Notamacropus eugenii: one gene and its partners. The protein of the gene in region 1 purifies or fractionates together with the protein of each later gene. This does not show direct contact. Links are inferred from orthologs where the notes say so. Each region holds a gene or a part of one and is shown in the gene's direction. Other genes may lie near its edges. The genes, in order: ESYT1, ATL3 and SYNJ2BP.

Region 1 (7,797 bases):
AACTCCTTTTGTAGATGAAGACATTAAAACCCACCAAGTTTATACAGGTGGTTAAGGACCAGGGCGAGGATAGTAATTTTCATATAATTATATAACACATCATTACAAAGCAAATGTCAATAAATTACATATTAATATGTTATAATCCTAGGAAGTTTCAGTATCTCCACTGCCCCACTCTTTAGAAATGATACCACTGGTAATTGCTGCCTCCCTCCCTTCCTCCCCTCCACCTTCCCAGTCTTTCCATTACCTCCAACCACCACCAGATGGCACGTAGGCAGTAGGTATGCCAAGGAGAGACAGGAAGATGAGGTGTTTATGAACCAGATGTCTGCATTGCAGTTTCTGGCCTTGGGTGCTTCTTAGCTCCAGCTGGAGGAGGGGAGTTGAGGTATCCAGGCTCTCTGTCCCCTTTGCCCATCATGGTAAGAGTCTAATTGTTCCGATGCTCAGATATGAAGGGTTAGAGAACCTCCAGAGGACAATTAAGCCTGCAGATACAGTCAGTCTGGGCTATCGAGTGAGTGAGTGTGTGAATGTGTGTCTGTGTGTGTGTGTGTGTGTTTATGTGTGTTGGGCTGGGGGCTTGCCTCTTATGCCGAGAGCTCTTTGAGGAATATCCCTGGCCTCCCCCGTTATTCCAATGCTCAGTAGCCCTTACCTTAAGAGCTTCTCCCCTCCCTGCAACAAAGCTGTTTCCTTCTGGAATGGAGCCATCAGTCACATGCAACCTCCCCCATGACCCTCTCCCCTGCCCTTCCCTCGTGTTCCAACCTCACTCCTCCTTGGGGGTGTGGAGGGATGGATGACAAGAGGTAGGAAAATGGAAACAGTCTGAGTCCTTAGCAGATTTTGCAGACTAAGTAAAGCTCCCAGATGCAATCAGCCTCGGGGAGTCAGGAAAAAAGGGAAATAGAAACCCCAGATTAGAGAACTGAGGTTAGGCTATTGGGTGGGGACAGGTTCTGAGCAGCTCTGATGAAACACTGCCAGAGGCTCAGAGTAGATGAGTAGATGTCAGATAAAATCCACACCTCGAAGAGCCAGATAATCTATCTGCCAGAGTGGTGCATCTTCTCTACTGCCCAATTCTACTTCTCCAGCACGGAGGAAGGGAGGGAGGGAGGAACTCAGACTCCGGACTGTGACTGAGATTCCCTGGCATTGCCAACTAATAATGAAACTTTGGCTACAAAGACCTGTGATTTCCTTGGTGTGGGTTTTCTCTCCACAGAGATCTTCAAAATTAATTATCACTTCATAGATGGTTTTCAAAGATTACTATTTAAAAAATTATCAGTCATCAGCCCACATGTTAAAGAGCCATTCAAACTTAACTTGGCTGGCCTTCAGCCTACAGGAAGAGGACTTTATCACTAATGTTTCCATTTCTCTATCCATGGTTCAATTGACAGGATGTTCTCTCCATCTGTGCAAGTCAAAACCCATCCACATGTTTTCATCCAGTGCTCCTGTTGTCCCACAGATTCTCCATAAAGAATCTAAATTACTTTACATTTCATGGGTACCTGGGCAACATTTTTACTGGCCATCTGTTATTCTTCACCCTTACTACATAACCAGCCCACTTCCTTTCCTGATCTTCCTTTTCTTGAACAACAACCTGTTAGTCTAAATAACTGACATTTATAGAGTTTCCCGAAGTACCTACATTATCCCATTTGGGTCTCCTAACAATCCTGGGAGATAAGTACCTCAGGGTTGCTGTGGAGCCAGTGCTGTGCTAAGTGTTAAAAGTGATTAGCTTCATTTTACAAATGAGAAACCTGAGGGTCATGGAGATTATAAAATTTGTCCAATTACCCAGCTAAGAATTTTCAGAGAAGGGATGCAAACCCATGTCTGTCCTGACTTTAAGTCCAGAGGTCACACGAAGAACTAGGCTCTCTCCACCATGCTTCTCACATAGATCTCTGGCAGGCCTATAGTGGCATCTTTCATTTCTCAGTCCCCAAACAATCTTCAACTCTCAACTCTCAACACCAAAAAAACCCAAAAACAAACCAATATTTTTTTTTCTGGGACCTGTGATTTCACTGATGTTAAGGAATTCTTAGTGAGGAAATTTTCTCTACCAATATAGATAGATAGCTTGCTTTGTGTATATTTGTTTGTATGTTGTCTAGTCCATTAGACTGAAAGCCTTGAGGTCGAGGATTGTCTTTTGCCTCTTTTGTATCCCTAGTACTTAGCACAGTGCCAGGCACATTGAAGGCACTTTTATCTTTCTGCTTTGAAGGTACTTAACAAATGTTTATTAATTAGCTGGTTCTTCAAGTTAGTATTAGAGAATTGTTGAAGGCATTGAGTGGTTAAATGATTTGTCCAGTCACTCAATTAGCACCTGTGAGAGCTGGGAGTAAAATTCAAGTTGTCTTGATTCAAAAGTGGTCCCTCTCCACCTGCCTCTCAACATTAGGAGAAACATCTTCATCACACCACCCTTTGGTCTACTTGAGTAAGAACTGAACTTAACTTATCCTGATTCGGTATGAGATCTTTAGGTTCTTAGAAACTCTCTAAAGGAAGCGTTACAACATCCTTGAGTCACTTAATATGGTGTCTGTTGATGCCAGAACAAGGTATTTTTGCATTTTAGTCAAATTTGAAAAGGTTCATCCTCTTTATTCGAATATAATGCTCTTTTTTTTTTAATGTATTTGTTTTCAGTTTTCAACAATCACTTCCATAAGTCTTGAACTTTCTCCCCCTCTCTTCTCCCTCCCCAGATGGCTTGCAATCTTATATGGATTCTATACATACATTCTTATTAAACACATTTTCACATTAATCATTTTTGAAATATAGTGCTCTTAAAGAATCTTGTACCATGAAGAATGGCATTTTAAGGCATTGAACTATAAGCATTTATTTCTAATAATAGATTTTATCAATATCTTTTTGTTTTATGTCACCGAGATTCCCTCCCCCCCTTAATGCTATCCATACCCTCTCTCAGAGAGCTAAAACAGTTTTTTGAAAGAAGAGAAAAAGATTCAGCAAAACCTGACACATTGAAAAAACATGACATTATGTGAAATGTGGTAACTGCATGAACCATCTACTTCTGCAAAGAGTGGGAGGAAGCGTCTTCTCATATCTCTTCTTTGGGGCCAAGCTTGTTATAATTTCGCAACATTCTTCTAAAAATGCATTTTTGTTGCTATTTTTTTCTATGTATGCTGAGGCAGCCCTTGTGTGTATTGTTTTCCTGGCTCTGCTTATTTTACCTTTTAGCACTTAACAAATCTTTCCAAGCTTTTCTTCATTTATTATGTTCATTGTTTCTTGTAGCACAGCAATATTCCTTTATATAAATATATCACAATTTGTCTAACCATTCTCCAATTACTGGACATCTATCTACTTTGTTTCCAGTCATTTTCTATCAGGAAAAGTGCCACTATAAATATTTTGGAGCCTTTTATTTTTGGCCTAATTTCTAATTACTTTCCAGAATCATTGTACCAATTCACAGCTCTACCAACAATGCACTAGTGTGTACCTACCTTCCCACAACCCCTCCAACATTAATTATTCCTCTTTTTTTTGCCCTCTTTGCTAATTTATTGGGTGTGAGGTGAAACCTGAGCTGTTTGGATTTGCATTTTTCTTATTATTGGTGGTTTGTAGTATTTTTTCATATGACTACTAATAGCTTGTAATTCTTCTTTTGGGAATTCTTTGTTCATATCCTATTGCCACCTCTCTATTGGGGAAGAGCTTTTAGAAATATAGGAATTTATTTTTAAAATATTTTTAAAATGTTGCTTGAAACGTTATTTCCTACCGTGCCTTACCCCTACTTCCACCAGAGTGCCTGGCACATAGTAGGAACCTAATAAATACTTATTGATTGATTTGATTTATCAATATCTCTGCTGCCTACTCACTATCAGCAATAAAGATTTAACCAATTCACCCTTTCCTGCTGCAATCCAGTCTGTTTCCTCCCACACTGCACGTGGCAAAGACAGAAATAAAGTATAAAGTAATCTTTCAGAGTTTTAAAAAGACCATTCTCCACCCTCTGATACTGTAGCTCCCGCAGATTTCGGATTAGGGATAGATAATCTAGTCTAGTCCAATCTCCTCATCTGACAGTGGAAGTCACAGAGATGGCAAAATGTCAGGAGTTGAACTGAGGGCCAAGGGCTTCAAATTCAGCGCTCCCTTTCCAGAGCATCACGCTGACATCCCCCTCAGGCAGATGGAAAACGAAGATGGGGCAAAACCCTTCATTCTAGTTCTCATCTCTGAAAGACCCCCTGGAAGCAATGGGTTTGGGCACCCCAGGCTTGAGGATAGGGGGAGGTCAGTATCCCCAGCCTATCCCTCTCACCCTATCCATATTTGGGGATAATGGCGCTTCTAAACATCTACAAAACTTTAGTTTAGCAAAGCCAGCTCAACCTAAACCAAAACAATTGAGGAGAGGAAGCTGGACATGGCGTCACCCACCAGCCCCACCCATCCCACGTGGGGACACCTCCTACTACTGGCCTCCCTTCTTTAAATTGTGCGCCACGCCTCCTCCTCTCCTTCAGACCAATCAGACTTCTCCCTTCCCCCTATCTCCCGGAGTGTCCCCGCCCAGTATTGCATAGCCAATAAGAGAGGGCTCTGCCCCTCTGGATTCCACACCTCCCCTCTAGGGGCGTGGTTTAGGCTCGTGGCTCCGCCCCAGTCTTTGGGCATGGGCCAATGGGAGCTGCCATAAAGGGGCGTGGTCTAAAGTAGCCGCCCCGCCCTCGGGGTTCTCGGTTGGGCTTGGGGGACAGGGGCAGCCAGGCGGGGCAGCGCGGAGCTGGGCTCCAGTGCGGGCGGGCGTTGGCACCATGGAGCGGCCCGTTGGAAAAGGTCTCGGCCCCGTGGCCGACCCCACTGACCAGCTCCCCGCGGAGCCAGCCAAACAGGACCCTAAACCGGCGGACCCGCCGCCGCCGCCTCAGCCACCCGGGGCAGCCGGTGAGGCGCTAGCGGTGCTGAGCTCCTTCGGGCGGAGGCTGCTAGTGCTGGTGCCCGTATATCTGGCCGGGGCCCTGGGGCTCAGCGTGGGCTTCGTGCTTTTCGGCCTAGCCCTCTACCTGGGCTGGCGCCGGGTCCGCGGTGGAAAGGAGCGGAGCCTGCAGGCGGCGCGGCAGCTGCTGGACGATGAGGAGAGGCTCACGACGCAGACCCTCTACCTGAGCCATCGCGAGCTGCCCGCTTGGGTGAGACAGCCCTCCGCCCCCCATCTCCCGCAGCCCGGGCCAGTCCCCCCCCCCCCAGGACCACCCCCTGCCGGACTTCTGGAGCCTCCTCCCGACCCCACCCCACCCCACCCCTCCATCCTCGAGCATCGCCATCCCCAGGACAGCTGCTCAGACTTAAGTCCATCCCTACAGCCCTAGCATCCTTAACTCTAGCGGGATCCAGATCTCCCGGAATCCGCCACCGCTCCCGCCAGAATTCCCTTCCCCCTACCCTTTTTCCACTGGACACTACGAAGGTCCCTTAGTCCCGAAGCTGTTAACTTCTCCCATTTTCGCTCACCGGAGCCCTGAACCTCCCCCCCCCCACCCCCCACTGCCCCCACACACACCTAGGCATCCCATATCAGACATACCACCTTCGCCGGACCACCTTCCCCGGACTACAGACCAGTTCCCACCACCACTCCCGCTGTGGGTGCCACCTCGTCTGCACTCTGTCTCCTTCCCCTCCCCCACAGGCATCTTCGTCACCCTCCCCACTGGCTCTGCTCCGAGGATTTCCCTGTCCTTCCCTCCTCCCTATACTGGGACGTTGTTACCTACTTTATTGTATGGCTCCCCCACCCATCCACTCAACTCTGGTTACGAGGACCCAGCCCTTCGGACGTGGACTTGTTTCTGCTCCCCTCCCTCGATCCTCCTTAGGCATCCCTAACCCCCTGGGTAGACCCTCCTTCTGTATCTCGCTACCTATGCATCAGGCCCCCAGCCTGGACTGCGGTAGTGATTGTGGTTGGCTGCAGAAGTCGGGGGCGGGGGGGTGGGGTGGGGATGGGGGAGGAGGAAAGGAGAGAGGGGAAGAGAGAGAGAGAAAGGGAGAGGGGAGGGGGATGTGTGCAGATGCTGCAGTGTCTGCTGTCCACACCCTTCCTCCACCTTCTGGCTTCAGCCCCACCCAGTCCTTCAGACCCTAGAGCTGGAAAAGTCTAGAGGTATAGGTGGGGTAGGTGAAGACCCAGAAATATTCCCTTTTTCTGCAGTGAAGGCACAGACCGGATGTAGCAGCCAAGGCCAGGAGGAGCTTTAGCGGGAAACCTAGCCTGAGCCCATAACCAAGCTTGGGCCCCTCCCTTTCAAACCCCCAGCAGAGTTGCCTTATCTTGAAGGGAGTCAAAGCTAGCGAAGACTGAGTGTCATCAAGAGTGACTCTGCTCTGAGGCAGTTTGGAACTGGAGTTCTGCCCTGGAGCCCAATCTTCTGGGCCAGGACTGGTATCCCAGTTCCTTCTCCCCACCCCCTCCATCCAGTCCTCTTTACCAGTTCCACGTCTCTGCCACTCCCACATCTCAATTGTGGAAACTTCTCCCTACCCCCCCTCCCCAGGAAAAGGGGGGCCTCGGGCCAATTCCCTTGTTATGTTTAGTTTAACCCGTTAGTCTCCCCAGGTGCTATAGGTTGGGAAAATGTAACTTCTAGGTACCCTTCTCATTCTCCTCTAGTGTTATGAGGAACGCTGTCCTAAGGACAGGATTCCTTTTCCTAAAGAATGTACCATCCCTTAGCCCAGCAGCTGTGCCTGCTGCCTCCCACTCCAAGGGAGTCATTAGAAAACAAAGGGGCTCCTGTGCTATCTGAGCCTTGACTTAGTACCCCTACAAGAAATCACGACTATCCCCCCAATTCTCTACACCCCTAGAATTGTCTCCCTGGAGTCTTTAGTGGAAGTGAAACTGCTTGTCCCTCTGGCCCCACCCTACTCAATAACAACAAAACAAGTACCTTGTCAGTGGGCATCCTGACACACAGGCATTATACAAGTACTTCCTGTCCCATTCTGATAGCACCTTCACAAGGACAGATGAAAGTTCTTGTAATTCAGGCATTCTTAACCCGGAGGTCCATGATATTTAAAAAAAATTCTGAGAAAAGTTCCATAGGCTTCACTAAGACTGGCAGAGGGGCCCATGTTACAGAAAAAAGGTTAAGAATCCCTGGTCTCAGGGGTCCAAATGTATGTTCTTCCTTCCTCCAGGTTAGCTTCCCTGATGTGGAGAAGGTTGAGTGGGTGAACAAGGTGAGTTTGCACATGGGTGGGTATAGGTCCTCTCTGATCAGTTGCTGAGACTTTGATTCCCTAGCCAGCCAGGACATGTTGACCCCTTCACTCCCAGCTAGAACCTAGTCTTGTCCTCCAAGTTTTCATTGGGATTGTAGCCATTTGGGGAAGTGGGTTCTCAGAGGGGTCTGACTACATGAGGAAGAGACAGTGAACCTCCACATGACTCTTCTTCTGTCATCCCAAGATTGTGGCTCAGGCCTGGCCCTTCCTGGGCCAGTATATGGAGAAGCTCTTAGCAGAAACAGTGGCCCCAGCTGTTCGAGCATCCAATACTCATCTGCAGACTTTCACATTTACTCGTGTGGAACTAGGTGAAAAGGTGAGGTGGATGGCATGGGGCATGGGAATAGGGAGGGTTCAATTCGGGGATCAGTGCACAGGGGACCAAATGTCTATTGCCTTCCATGTATTCCCTTCTCAGCCTTTACGTATCCTGGGGGTCAAGGTTCACACTGGTCA
Region 2 (7,536 bases), on another chromosome or scaffold:
GATACATATTTCTATGGTGCCTACTATGTGCCAAGCATTTCTATAGTGCCTACTGTGTGCCCAGCTTCTTGGAAAACTTTTCTCCTTTGAGCCTCACAGCAAGCCTGGAAAGGAGGTGCTCTTATGATTCCCATTTTGCAGTTGGGGAAATTGAAGCTGAGACAGTTTCAGGGACTTGCCCAGGCTCAAACAGCTAGGAAGTGTCCCAGGCCAGATTCTGACTTAGGTTTTCTAGACCCTTGAAGCTAGGTGGTGTTCTAGGCTGATAGCCCCAGCCTGGAGTCAGGAAGACCTGAGTTCAAATCCAGCCACAGACCCTTCCTAGCTGTGTGATGCTGGGAAACCACTTCAGCCATTGGCCTCAGTTTCCTCATCTGTAAAATGAGCTGGAGAAGGAAATGGTAAAGCACTCCAGTATCTTTGCCAAGAAACCCCAAGTGGGGTCACAAAGTGTCAGATACAACTGAGAAAACAGCTAAACAAGAACTTCTGGACCCCAGGCTCTTGATCCTGTGCTCCTAGCTGCTTAATAGGTGCTGGCTGATTGACTAGATTGGTTGATCTATGGTTTGTTCTGTTCCCTGCTGGGGCAAACCCTCCCCTCCCCCGACTTACCAGGCAGTTATTCAGGGTTGTTATGCTCCCCTCTCCCCCAGTTCTCCAACCCTTCTGTCCAATCACCCTTCAAAGCCTTGAAGTTGGCAAGTGAAATTCTCAAGGCTGGGCCTCCTACATCAGACCCACAGTCCAGCAGCAGGCCCAGACTGGAGTCCTTCCAGTTTGCTAGGACTTGCCACAGCTTGAGCTCTGCTGGCACTGCCTATGGAACCCTGGGTCACCCACAAATCACGATGAGTCATGGGAGAAGGCCTTCAGTGGAGGAAAGGTTAATGGGACAGTAAAGGACCCTGTGCACCTGAAAACTCCCTTGTGGCTGGGGGTGGGGGGAGGTCAGAGGGATATTTACTTGTGCCCTGTGCCTGCACCCCTGCCTGGGCACATTCCAGCTGCTCAGGCAGCTGCTTCTAGACGGCCTATTTCTGGGTTGTGCAGCCACCACCGCCGCCACCACCACCACCACCACCACCACCACCACCACACAGATATGTGAGCATCTGTATATATGAGTGTGTGTGCATTTGTGTATATATGTGTGTATTTGTGTGAGTGTGCCATTTCAGGGCAGCCCAGCAGAGAGGGCAGGGTCAGTGGCATGGAAAGCAGGAGTTCCTTCTGGGTCCACACCCAGATATTTCTTCTTCTGCCAACTTCTGAACCTTCCCAGCCCTGCCATTTATGACTCCTAAAACTCTTCCCTCTGGGAAGGCCTCACCTGTACAGTGGGGGCTGGAGTGGAGGATCTCCAAGGTTGGAAGTCTGTGGGTCTAAGGAGAAGCCAGCCCCTGGATTCTATTATGAGATTTCACAGGCAAAAAAAGGAGGACCATAGCCTCCTCCCTGGCCTCCTCCCCACCTTCCTCCCCGGCCTCCTGTCTGGCCTCCTCTCCTCCAACCCCCTGGTTTTTCTTTGGTGTGTGCTTTGTATTCTCTTCAGTATAGACCCATTGCCTCCTGGCCAGGCATGAAACTCCTGGAGGGAAGGAATGGATTCCTTTTGGTCTTGATATGTTCAGGACCTTGGTGGTGCCTGGCACATAGTAGGCACATAGATGGTGATCAGTGCTTGTTGACAGATTGATTCATGGTCAGCGGTTCTAGACATGGCTCTTGCTGAGAAACCCTGGGCAGGTCACTGACCCTGTTTGTGTCTCAAATTCCTCATCTGTGGAATGGGAATGATAACATCAGTCATTCCTCTCTCAAGCAGCAGTTTGGAGGATCAACTGAGATAATATTGATAAAATACATTGCAAACTTTTATTCTTGTTCAGTCATGTCCGGCTTTTAATGATGCCATTTCTTGGCAGAGATAGTGGAGTGGTTTGTCATTTCCTTCTCCAGCTCATTTCACAGATAGGGAGATGGAGGCCAACAGGGTGAAATGCCCTGCCCAGGGTCACACAGTTAGGAAGTGTCTGAGGCCAGATTTGAACCCAGGGAGATGAAACTTCCCTGTTCCCAGTCCAGGGCTCTGTGCACTGTGGCTGCTGCCCCCTAGCTGCCCGTTGCAAACTTTAAAGGGCTATAAAAATGCCAGTTCTCATGATAGACCCTTACCATTGTCTTTTGTGTTATACTGTATTATGCTCTGCACACTGCTTCACAGCATGTATATGTACATCATGGCAGGCAGGATGACAGAGTCAGGAGAAACCTGGGTTCAAATGCTGCCCCTGGCCCTTACAGGCAGGGTCACAATGGCTAAGTCATTTGGTATTTCATTAGTGTTTACCTCCGTAAAATGGGACCAGGAATACTTGTGTCTCCTGCATCACAGGGCTGCTGCCAATGTTGAATGAGATGATGTATTTAAAGAATTCCAGGCATCAGCGATTATTATAAATAGTCTCCTGTGACCTCAATACTCACCAGAATAATAAGAATTCACGCTAATAAAGTGAGTAAAGTGTTTTTCCTAATGTCAGTCACTTGAAGCAGCTTGTTCAGCTCTTACCTGAACCCATTTCAACAAGGAAGAAGCTATTGCCCAAGCCCACGATGCTGCCCAGGGGCAAGATTAGAACTCAAACCCAGGTCTCTCCTGACTCTACTTGTCTGTTGAAAAGGCCACTCTGAGCCACCATGGACTGGACAAAATCACTTAGCAACCAAATATTTATTGAGTAATGACCGTATACACAGTCCTGTGTTGAGTCCTGACTGGGATCCAGTTTAGGTAAGGAAGAGGCCCTGTGCTCACTGAGTGGATGAACAAGAACCAGCATTTGGGCACAGCCTCTGGGAATTGGAGGCAGCGGTTCAAAGGGCACTCCTTGTCTGGGCCTCACTGTGTCTTGTAAAATGAAAGAGCTGGACTATGCCTTTCAGCTCTATGTTTGCTCCTGGGTCCCACATTTGTACCCGATTCCTCAGGCTCATTTGTCTGCGTAGAGCCTGAAAGAAAGTGGTCAGGAGGGTGTGTGTCTGTGTGTGTGCCTCAGGTCTGATGACCCAGAGGATGGATGGCGATCATTAAGCAAAGCCAGCGGCAGAGAAGGCTCTTTTCTAGGGTGCCTGAGGGCCACTAATGACACAGCAATTATCCTGGAGACAGCCTGGATCATGACTGTGCTCCTGGAAGTGAGGTTACCCGTCTTTATCGCAGTTCAGTCACATCCTCTTCCTCCTCCCTGGGATCCGTGCAATTTTGAAAATACAGCAATGGTTCACTTGTAGGCTTATGGGAAGGGTCCTTAGAGATCATCTAGTCTCACCCCTCGTTTTACTGGAGAACAGAGGTCTGGGGAAGAACAGGGACTTGCCCAAGGTTACACAGACAGTTGGTGGTCACGGAGATCAGAAACCAGTACAGAAGGGCAGCCTATTTCTGTGGCCTGAGAGTGTTTCAGGACCAAAACTCTCTCCGGTAGAATGTGATTGTTTTCATTTTCCTTTGATTGCTGGTTCTAGGTGCAGCGTTTGATTAGGTGGGTACTCTGTCAATGCTTGTTAAATTAAATGGAATTGAATACGGCTGGCCTGGGCTCCTGGCACATTACTGTGCCCTTAGTAAGTGCTCATTGACTGACCGAGTACTGAAGGTCACTGAGCCCGAGGCAGGGAATTTAAGTTCAGCTGGGGCCTGCGCTTGGCTCTGCCAACCTTCACCCTTGTGCTCTTGGGCATGACAGAGGACGTCCCTGGGCCTCGGTTTACTCGTTTGTAAAATGAAGGGTTTGGGTGAAGCTTGGCTGCAGACAGCCCCAGATTTAGCAGCAGAAGGCCTTCTCTGCCCTGTGCTGGCGGTGGACACTGAATCTCTTTGGGCCTCATCTACAGTGTTCCCCTCCCCGGGGCTGGACAGGCTGATCTCTCCAGCCTGGCATAGCTCTAGGCCCCCACTGTCTCCCTCTTCCTTTCCCCCTCCCCCACCCTCCCCTTGGCCTGCTGGGAGTGGTAGTTTAGTGTCACACTAAGGCGAAGAGATCTGGTTACGCGGCCTATGTATCCCCACTAGAGGGGATGCCGCTGGAGGGCAAGGCCTGCTTTTCTTTATTTTGAGCTTTGCAGCAGCAGCCCTTCCTGGCACAGGCCTGGACCCTCGTGGGTGCTGCTTTGGACACGAAGCACCGGACACGCGGTCCAGCCCGCAGGAAGCACCTAGGCAGGCCACCCGCTGAGCGCCTGCGTCGCCGCTTGGCCTGCTGGGAGTTATGGTTCCGTGGGAGGCTGAGCCCCGGAGAGTCGAGCTTCCCTTCTTTGCTGCCGTGATTCCGCATGGACTGCTGGGAGTTGTGGTTTCTTGGGAGCCCCAGAGCCTAAGTGAGCGCCAGAGTGGTACTACGTTTCCCAGGAGGCTGAGGTGGGCGGGGCTGCTGCGCGGGCCTCGCCGCCGGCCGGGCCCGGGTGCGCGTGCGCAGCCCGTTTCTTCTCGCTGCCGAGTCCCCGCCCATTTCCCGCCCAGCTCCGCCTGCCCGCCCTCTCGGCCGCCCTCCCTCAGGCCCGGCCCGGCCCGGCCCGCCCTCCCCCTGCCGCCCGGGCTGATGAGGAGGCGGCTCCATGTTTTCTTTTCTGGGAACGGCGGCGGCGGCCTCATCAGAAAGCGGGGAGAACACAGGTAACCCCACGCCCCCCGAGCCCCGGGCCCTTCCTGCCTCAGTTTCCGCCCCTGTAAAAGAAGGCCGCAGGACTGAGTGGACTCGGGGGTCCTCGGCCCTCTCTGCCCCTCAGCTCCTCTTCCGTAAAGGGAGGGGCTTAGACCGGGTGGTCTCCAGGCCGTCCCGGCTTCAGTTTTCCCGTCTGTCTAATGAGGTCGTTAGACCAGGACCTCCGATCAGACCCCTTCCCCTTCCCGGGCCTCAGTTTACCCTTCTATTGAAGAGCCGAGGCTAGTTGGCCTTTGGGGGTCCTTCCCCTTCTTGGGCCTCAGTTTCCCCCCGTGTACAACGAGGGGGTTGGCGGAGCTGGCTCCGTTTGTAAGTTTGTGCGTGGCTCCTCCCCCTGCTTTGGTGTTGGGCTTTTTCCCGAGTAGGTGGGTTCCTTCTCTCCACCCCCTCCATTTCTCCGCGTGTTCCTGCTTGTGCCCCGGAGCAGTAGGGTGAGGGGGCCCCTCCCCTGTGGCCCCCTGCCGGGTGACATGGGGAATGGGGCATCCTTCCTGGTGATCAGGAGACTGCCCTCTTTGGGGTGGGTTGGAGTTGAAGTTTCCCGTCTGAACTTGATTTCTACCGGTCCTGTTTGCCCCACCCTTGGGCACCGAGCACAGTAGTGAGTGACCCCACCAGGGGGTGATCCCCGTTAAAGGTCCTCCTTCCTTTGTAGACTTTTCCATCCCATTGGACTAGAAAGTTTGAAGCAGATGCTTTTGGCCATATTAGGGTGGAAGGATGGAGACAGGGAGATGCTGAAGGGCCCGGGCTAGTCATTACAGGCAGAATTCCTCTTAGGAAAGAAGACAGGGTTTGGAATCCAGACCCTTTGAAACCCAGGCCCTGCCTTCTGGTACCAACCTGTGTGTCACCTAGGGCAAGGCTCCCCTTCCTGCGCAGGAACATTGAACTGAGGCCCTTTTTCATGGCAGCTGTGGTCCTGCCACCTGGAGTCTGCTTGCTAGCTGTTACTCAACTTTTATGAAACCTGCCCTGGGAATGGTGAAACTTAAATTATTTTTAACCTGAATCTTTCTACCTCAGGGGACTGAAACCAAAAGTGTGGTAGAGAATTTGGTGTTCTATCAGGTTTTGTTTTTTTTTTTAGCTGACGAAAAGAATATGAACTTCAGTTGGAGAAAATTTTCTAAAGTTTTTGAGTACGTTTCCTTTTTTTTGAAAAGAGAGCAAAACGACAGTCATTGAAGTACTGACACTCCCCCCTCCCCGCTTTTTCTTTGTGACATTTGGAAGTTTCTACAGGTTCCATTTGTGAACTTTCTAGACTTAAAAGATGAGTAAGGAGCCTGGGTAGGAAAACTTCTCCAAAGCCAACAAAGTTCAGGTCCCCTGGTTTGAGGAGTTGTATTGAAACTGTAGTGGAAAGGAGGAGAAAACACTAAGTAGGGGCCCCAGGGCAGGCCTCCTGCTTCCACTAGGAGCAGCCTTTTTTTAGGGAGTCACTTTTAATGGATGAAATAATAAAAGGAAGAACTGCAGTTTTACAAATTTGTTTTAGAATTTTAGCTGTGTTCTCAGTCTGTGATTTTAGAGAATTGCCTGAGGCCCTGAGAGGTTAAGTCATTTGCCCAGGTCTCTGGTCCACTGCCTGTAATAGGTGAGATTTGAGCCCAGATATTCTGGACTCCAAGTGTTATACTGCCTTTTCTGTCACATATATGATAATGGGGGGAAAAGTCCCAAAAGGACATAGTATGGTATGGTATAGTATAGTATAGTATGGCATGGTACCGTATGAGATGGTACAGTATGATACGGTACAGTATGGTATGGTATGGCATGGTACGGATAGTGGTGTGGGGGCTGCCAGACCTGGCTACACATTGACTTAGCAAGCCACGTATTAACATCATCTGTGCTTTATTGTATTTTTACTTATTTTGTTAACTATTTCCCAGTTACATTTTGTTCTGGTTTGGCAGCTGTGCCTCAGGCCCAGGCCTCTGCTGTAGTGGATAGAGGGGTAGTGCAGCCATGAAGAGCTGCATTCAAGTTCTCACTGACACATCTTGGCTGTATGACCTTATCTTGGTGCTCTAGGCAGGGGTGGGGAATCTGTGGCCTCAAGGCCCTCAAGTTTGGCCCTTTGACTAAATCCAAACTTCAGAGAACAAATTCCCTTAAGAAAAGGATTTGTTCTATAAAACTTGGACTCATTCAAAAGTTCAAAACCAAGGACTCAAAGGGCCACATGTGGCCTTGAGGCTGCAGGTTCCCCACCTCTGTTCTAGGAAGCTCCTGAAGATTCTTAAGTTATAGAGAAGGAACTAACTGCATCAGTTGAGTTTTTTCTCATCTGGAAGGGCTTCACACCAATGAAATCATAGGTTGGTCCTTCTCCCTTAGAATTCCAGGATTCCCACACTTAATACTTTGTTTTACGAAAACGGCTTTGTCTTGTGATGGATGGCTCTTAAAGTTCTCGTTGTTAACATGACACTCTAGGAAAGGAAACTTTTCTTCGCTTGGCAATTCTGTTCATGACTGTTTTCGTATCTGACACTGTAACCTCCTACTGCCTTCTAGGATCAAACTGAGAAAGAAAGCATTTTGTAAAGCATCCTGTCAATGTTAGCTAGTATTATTTTGGAAGAATTAGACTAGGGCAAATTCTTGAAAAACAAAACAAAACAAAACTAAGGTACCAAACAATAGTTTAAATACATTTTAGCATAGAGAGAGCACCAGCTGTGGAGTCAGCCTCCCTGGGCCTAAGTTTCCTCATCTGTAAACTAAGGGGGTTGGACTAGGTGACCTCTGAGATCCCTTCCAGCTCTAGAGTAAGGATCCTGTTTTAGAAACATTG
Region 3 (7,008 bases), on another chromosome or scaffold:
ACTTCCTCTTTATGAAGTCTTTTCCAGCTGCTTCTTTTTTATATTTCTCTTTGATCTTGTGTTTGCAGTTCAGAATTTCTACTAAGCTTTTCATTAAAAATGCTTGGAAGTGTCCTATAAAATAGTAGTGTAACAGAAAAAAACAGCAGTAGTGTAATGCCATAGGCTTTTTAATAAAGACCCATTTTTCTTCCCCTGTAGGGTTACACTCAGTTTTTGCTAAGTAAATTATTCTTGATTGCAAGCCTATATCTTTTGCCTTTTGGAATATTAGATTCCTTGTTCTACAGTTCTTTATAGAGTAGATGGTAAACCTTGTATGATCCTGATTGAGGTTTCTTAGTACTTTAACTCTTTCTGACAACATGCCTGTTTTTTTTTTTCTTCTTTAATCTAGAAGCTCTGGATTTTGGCTAAAACTCTGGGGAGTTTTCATTTTGTGTTTTGTTTTTTTTTAAGAGGTGATTAGTAGATTCTATTTTTACTTTGCCCTCTGATTCTAAGACAGTTGGACAGTTTTCTTTCATGAGTTCTTGGAATATGATTTACAATATTTCTGTTTCTGTCTCTGCGTCTCTCTCCTTTAACCCTCCCTCTCTTTCTTGCTCATGGTTTTCAGATAGTCCAGTGATTCTTAAATTGAATCTCTGTGATCTGCTTTCTAAGTCAGTTACTTTAGCTTTCTTTTCTTTTTCAATATTTCAACTCTGTTTTAATATTTTTTGTTGCATTTCAATTAGTACAGATGCACAAAGACAGGAAATGGAATGTTGTGTATAGAAAAAAGACCAGTTTGACTAGATTACAGAGTGTGGGAGTACTGTCTAGTGAAGCTGAAAAGATCAGCTGGAGCCAAGTTGCAAAGGGCTTTCAAAGTTAAACATAACAGTTTATATTTTATCTTGGAGACAATATAGAGCCATTAGAGTTTACTGAGCAGGGGATATGATCAGATCAGAATTTGAAGAAAACCACTTTGACAGCAGTATGGAGGATGGAGAGACTTAAGGCAGGCAGACCCATTAGGAGTGTGTTGTAATAGTCTGTAGGCTTGAGCTAAGGTGTTCAGCTGTAGGAGTAGAGAGAAGAGGTCAGATATGAGAGACAGAAAGGTAGAAAGAACAAGATTTGGTAACTGGTTAGAATGTAAGGTGAAAGAGAGTGAGGAATCAAGGATAATGCCAAGGTTACAAACCTGGGAGACTGGAAGAATCCTGGTGCTTTCAAGAGAAGAGGGAAATTTGGGGTAGGGTTGGGGAGAAAGAGAATGAATTCTGATTTGGACACGTTGAATTTGGAATAAGAGTGGTAACTACTTTGGGGGGTTTTATAGCCCAGGTCTGAGATCAGTTTTGGACATGCTGAGTTTGAGATGCATAGCAGATAATTGATAGTTAAGGATTATGTCTCTCAGGAGAGATTAGGGCTTATGTTAGATTACATTAGATTATGTATATACATGTATGTATATATGTGTGTATATATGTATGTGTATATGTATGTATATGTAATATATGTATATGTATACATATACACATATATGTATGTCATTTTGTGATGGTAAGCAAAGTAGGTTTACAAAACACTTTAATAAAATACCTCACTTAAGTCTTAAAACAATCTTGTAAAGTATTTGCTACTATTATCACCACTTAATAAGAGAAAACTGAGCCTGGGAGAGGTTGTTATTGCCCAGGGTCACTACGGTGTTAAGTAGCAGAGCCAGGATTTGAAGCAGACATCCAAACCACCACTAGGTTAGAAATCAGAACACTATCCATTACGATAGGCTTCCTCTACCAGGCTAAAGGGCCAGTGTTCTGACAATCTGGCTTTTTACTAAGTTTTAAGAATCTTTGATTTCACTCCTCTGGGTAATCCCTCCAGTCATACTGAATTCAACCATAGGCTCCTTAGCAGATGGTTACATGGGCTGCTTTGGCCAAACAATTAATCAGCTGGTGGTCAATTTTCTAGGGATAAGCCTCTCTAAATTTATCTAAGCTGGTCCTAAGACAATTGACACAGGCTGTCACAGGCCCATATTTAAAGACTTTCCAGCTGAGTGTCCTGCTGGAATAGCTTTCTAGCATAATATGTTAGTCAACAAACATTATTTAAAAAAAAAAAAAAAGATACTGAATGCTGGGAAATTACCATAACCAAATTTGACTCCAAAGAGGAGATATGAGAATGTACTTTCCTCCCTCCAAGTTTTTTTTTTTTTTCCCAGGTGGAGGAACTATGGGTGTCAAAAACACTACTTATAATATCGACCGTTTCATATGTTGGTTAGTTTTCCTGAACTATTTTTTCCTTTTTTTTTTAGTTTTCAAATTTGAGTTCCACAAGCTTTTGAGTTTTAAATTTTCTTCCTCTCCCCCCCTCCCCAACACTGCATATACATTCATATTAAACATATCTTCACATTAGTCATGATGTAAAGAATTATAACCAATGGAATGGACCACAATTTCCAATTCTTTTTCACCACAAAAAGTGCTGCTATCAATATTTTTGTACAACCTTGCCATTTTTTTGATCTCTTTGGGATACAGCCCTAGAAGTAGTATTGCTGGGTCAAAGGGTAAGCATATTTTTATAGCCCTTTGGGCATAGTTCCATGGCTCCAAATTACTCTCCAAAATAGTTGGATCAGTTTATAACTCCACCAACAATGCATTAGTGTTCCAATTTCCCACATCTTCTCCAACATTTATAATTTTCCTGTTTTGTCATGTTAGCCAATCTGATAGGTGTGATGTGGTACCTAAGAGGTGTTTTGATTTGCATTTCTCCGATCAATAGTGATTCTTGTTTTGTTTTTTTTTTGTCATTAAGGATGGCTCGGGTAACAAGAGTGATGTAAAATTAAAAGATATCAACAAACAATAGCTTATAGGATTAAACATTTAATTGAAACAAATTCAGAAAACAAGCACTAAATGTTTACTATGTGAACAGCTAACATTTCTATTGAGCTTTAAGGTTTTACCTACGCTGGGGCCTGGAGTCAGGAAGATCAGAGTTTAAATATGGTCTCAGACACTAAACAGGTGTGTGACCCTGAGCGAGTCACCTAACTTCGCTTCAGTTTCCTCAACTGTAAAATGGGTATAATGGTAGCACCTACTTTCTAGTGTGGCCGTGAAGATCAAGGGATAGAATATTTGTAAAGCATCTGACACTATATTCTTATTCCCTTTTCCCTAACAAACATTTCAATCAATAAGCACTGGGGATACAAAAAAAAAAAAAAAAGCCAAAGACAGCCTCTGCCACCAAGGAGTTTACAGTCTAATGGATCATCTGGACCTCATACAACCCTGTTAAGGCATCCTTTTTTTTCTTAACATATAAGGAAACCAAGGCCCTTCACTGCAGTATTGAGTGATGTGGGAGCCTAGGGTACCCTGCCCACTGGACCAGGAATCAAGAAGACCTAAGTTCACATTTGGTCCCAGACACTAAGTAAGTGACCCTGCACCAGTAACTTAACTTTTCTTGCCTCAGTTTCCTCATATGTAAAATGGGGCTAATAAGGGTTGTTGTGAGGCTCAAATGAGATAATAACTGTAAAGTGCTTAGTACACCCTGGCACAGAGTGAGAAATAGATGAATGTTAGCTGTCCTTATTGGCATTATTAAACAACTAACAGGCTCAACCTTGGTTTCCCCGCCTATAAAATTCCCCAGTCTTATTGGGGAATCAATCCCCCAATGTGTTATTGAGGATAAAGTGAGCCACAGATGTACAGGGTCCCGTTAGCAACTGGTGCTTCTTCTCTCACTTAACAAAGAAAGCCCCTCCCAACAAAGCCACCCACAGTGCAAAGCCTAGGGAGGTGGGGGTGGGGAGGAGGAGGACAAGCCCGGGAACTACATTCCCCAGAATTCCCGGTGTTTCCCATCCGCCCCTTCCTGTCCGGGGAGGCTGATGAAACCGAAAGTGCTGCGGCTGCAGCTGGGTTTTTTTTCACCTTCAGTCCCGTGAACACGACGGGCGGGTGAATCCGGTCGGGGGAAGGAAAACCCTGGGCCCTGCGTAAAGTATGAACGGAAGAGTGGACTATCTGGTCACGGAAGAAGAGATTAATCTTTTCCGAGGACCCTCAGGTACTTGGTGGGAGCTGGGGATGGGATGGGGGAGGGGGGAAAGGGGCCGCCTGAGGTTTCCCGCCACGCCACGAGAAGTCTCCCTCAGCCCCACGCCGACCCCCAGCCTCCTCTTGGTCGGGCCGCGGGCCTCTTATCAGTATAACCCCTTCCCGCTCGTGGAGGGGGATCTGCTGGTAGCCTGGCGTCCACCCTTGGCTGAGGAAGGAGCCCCTGCCCTGGCCGCAGCCTGGCACAGCCGAGCTGCCCGTGCGTCACGGCGCCTCCGGGGAGAGGGAGGATTAAAGGTGGGAGGCGTACTGCCCTTGGCGATTCACCCGCGGCGGCCGCCCCGCCCCCCCCGCCCCCCTCCGGCCCCCTCATCGCCCCCCCGCGGCCCCCCCCATCGCCTTGGCCCTCAACTTCCAGAGCTTTTTATATTTATTTTTAAAAATCTCCGTTACCGAGGTTCTCTGGAATCTAGCATGAAAATTCATTTGCCCCCTTGTATAAATTCTTTTTTTTTTTTTTAAAGAGTCCCACTACTAATTAAGAGTGTGTAGAGCGACTGAGTCACTCAGTCGATCCCCCGCGCTTTTAATCAGGTTTGCCGTGGACCCAGGCGCTTTGAAAGCGCCCCTAGGGCAGCCCGAGCTGGTTAGGGACGAGGAAGCCGGCCGCCCAAGGTCAGCTGCTCGCGGGGCGGCGGGCCCTGCCCCTCCCCCCCCCCCCCCCGTTCCTCCCCTCTCCCCACCCCCGACCCCTCCCCTCCCCCCCCCCCCCGCAGCCCGACCACCCGCCTGCGCACGCAGCCTCGCCCTGAGTGCCGGCGTGTGGCGGCCGAGCAGTCACTGGAGCCCCCCCTAGGCCCGAGTGAGCCCGCGGTGCCGGCGGCTCTTCGGAGGAGTCTCCCAGGGGCAGGGGCGTAGAGGTGGCGCGGCGGTGCCCGGTGCCCAGTGCCTGGCCCCACACGGCTGGGCTCTTCATGTTTGCATCTGCACACGGTAGACTTGGATGTTTTTAATTAGAAAGATGGTTATGCCTGATTTTCTTAGATCTTTAGAAACCAGCAAGCTCTCCAGAAAGGTCCCGCCCCTATCTCATGAACTTCCTATTGAGGTTCAGAGTTGTATGTTCTCCTTATCCTGAAGGGATTGGTTCTCTAGCATAGTGGTCTCTTGATTTTTTTTTTTTTGAATTACACACCCCTTTCCGAAAAAAAAAAATTAAGATAGGAGTACTTTAGGACAGTGGTCTAGACTGTTTGGATTGCACAACCCTTTCAGGAAAAAAATTAAGGTATTGGTTCTCTAGGACAGTGGTCTCTTAGACTTTTTGAATTGCACACTGCTATCCATAGGAAAAAAAATCAAGCATACATTCCCAATATGTGTATATTTATTTACAAATTATATGCATGTACTGCTGTAATAAGTAATAAATAATAATATGTAATAATACAATATAATATAATATATTTTATTATATATTATGTTAATTACATTATTATATATTATAATAAGTAATAATAATAATTATGCTATCAAACTTGCATGAAAATGTAAATTTTGAAAGGGCAAGATAAAGATGAAGTAATATATGATCCCAAAGTCATTTGGGAGCCACTGGAATTTATTGAGTTGAGGGAAGTTATTGGGTAGTTGTGTGTAAGATTCAGTAAGGCGAGACCAAGTAGAAAACTATTTCAGTAATTCTGTCTAGAGGTGAAGAGTGCTTGAACTCAGGTAGTGGCTTCATTAAGAGAAATGAAGAGGTAGAAATGACAAGACTTGTTAATAAGATACGTGGAGTGAGGGAGAGTGAAGATTGGAACATAACAGGAAGATAACTTGGTGTTATCTTCTCCAGCAGTGCCTGCCCAAGCCATGAAATGATTTTAGGGACAGGGTATGGGTATGCTGGTGGGGTGGGGTGGTGGTGAGAACTTTTCAGTGGCGTTTAAGTACTTGCTGCTATAGGTACTAGGTAGTGGTTAGATGACAACTCCCCAGAAGGACCCATGCTGGGCTCAGAAGCAGGAAGATTGGATCTCATTGGGATCAGCCCTCTGATTGGTTGATCCCATACTTCTTGGAATCAGGCCACAGCCCCCACTTGGGAGACCATTACTCTGGAAGGATGGGAATTGATGTCTGGAATGAATTTACAGAATTTTCAGCAATCAGTGCCCATAGAGTGGCTAAGCAGTGGCTTCAGAAGACCAAAGGCATAGGCAAGGGAACAGGACTATTAAGAAAGGAAAAGACAGAAGGAGTGGGTGGGATTTTGATTTTTAAGGGAGAAAATTAAAGGGACCTGGGTTGGGTAATGATAATAGGGCTAGCAACATTTGCCCCAGAGGCTTTGCTGAAAGTTCATAGTTAATTTTACAGATAGCTGCAGATTACCAGCGGTGACCTGGAGTCTGTTCCAGCTTGATTTTGAGGCAGATGTCACAAACTGACTAATATTAATTTTTGAGCTGGAAAGGGACCTTAGATATCATCTTATCCAATTTGTTTGTTTTAGAGATAAGAAAGTTGAAGTCCAGGAAAATGTGACTAGCTCAAGGTCACACGGCAAGTTATTGGCATAGATGGGACAAAAAAAATCAGGGCTCCTGACTTCTGTTTGTTTGTGCTCTCTTCCTGAATCAGTTCCCAATGGATGCAGAGGGGAAGTGAGTAATCTGGGATGTGTGTGTGTGTGCATGTGTGTGTATGCATGTGTGTGTATGTGCACGTGCACGGATGAAGTGGGGCAGATTAATTCATAGATGAGAGTAGACAATGTATGGAAAACTTTTCCTTCTGTATTATAGCAAGTCACTTGCCCATTAGTGAATAATTCCTAGCTGTTTACTTGTAGGGATTTAATCCATTTAGTCACTTATTACAGCACAATAGAAGGGCT

Evidence for each region.
Region 2: the proteins of ESYT1 (region 1) and ATL3 purify together in Homo sapiens (affinity purification with mass spectrometry; 3 studies listed by BioGRID and IntAct, with this or other methods). This does not show direct contact. The link is inferred for Notamacropus eugenii from reciprocal best matches to the Homo sapiens genes ESYT1 and ATL3.
Region 3: the proteins of ESYT1 (region 1) and SYNJ2BP purify together in Homo sapiens (affinity purification with mass spectrometry; 4 studies listed by BioGRID and IntAct, with this or other methods). This does not show direct contact. The link is inferred for Notamacropus eugenii from reciprocal best matches to the Homo sapiens genes ESYT1 and SYNJ2BP.

The regions. Positions count from the first base shown.
Region 1 is NC_092874.1:231,388,494-231,396,290, forward strand, and holds the start of ESYT1 (extended synaptotagmin-1), read left to right. Parts: upstream 1-4,774; 5' UTR 4,775-4,862; coding exon 4,863-5,237; intron 5,238-7,251; coding exon 7,252-7,293; intron 7,294-7,522; coding exon 7,523-7,657; intron 7,658-7,759; coding exon 7,760-7,797. UniProt on the Homo sapiens protein: Binds calcium (via the C2 domains) and translocates to sites of contact between the endoplasmic reticulum and the cell membrane in response to increased cytosolic calcium levels.
Region 2 is NC_092873.1:16,545,998-16,553,533, reverse strand, and holds the start of ATL3 (atlastin-3), read left to right. Parts: upstream 1-4,516; 5' UTR 4,517-4,620; coding exon 4,621-4,678; intron 4,679-7,536. UniProt on the Homo sapiens protein: Atlastin-3 (ATL3) is a membrane-anchored GTPase that mediates the GTP-dependent fusion of endoplasmic reticulum (ER) membranes, maintaining the continuous ER network. It facilitates the formation of three-way junctions where ER tubules intersect.
Region 3 is NC_092872.1:297,624,759-297,631,766, reverse strand, and holds the start of SYNJ2BP (synaptojanin-2-binding protein), read left to right. Parts: upstream 1-3,987; 5' UTR 3,988-4,052; coding exon 4,053-4,116; intron 4,117-7,008. UniProt on the Homo sapiens protein: Regulates endocytosis of activin type 2 receptor kinases through the Ral/RALBP1-dependent pathway and may be involved in suppression of activin-induced signal transduction.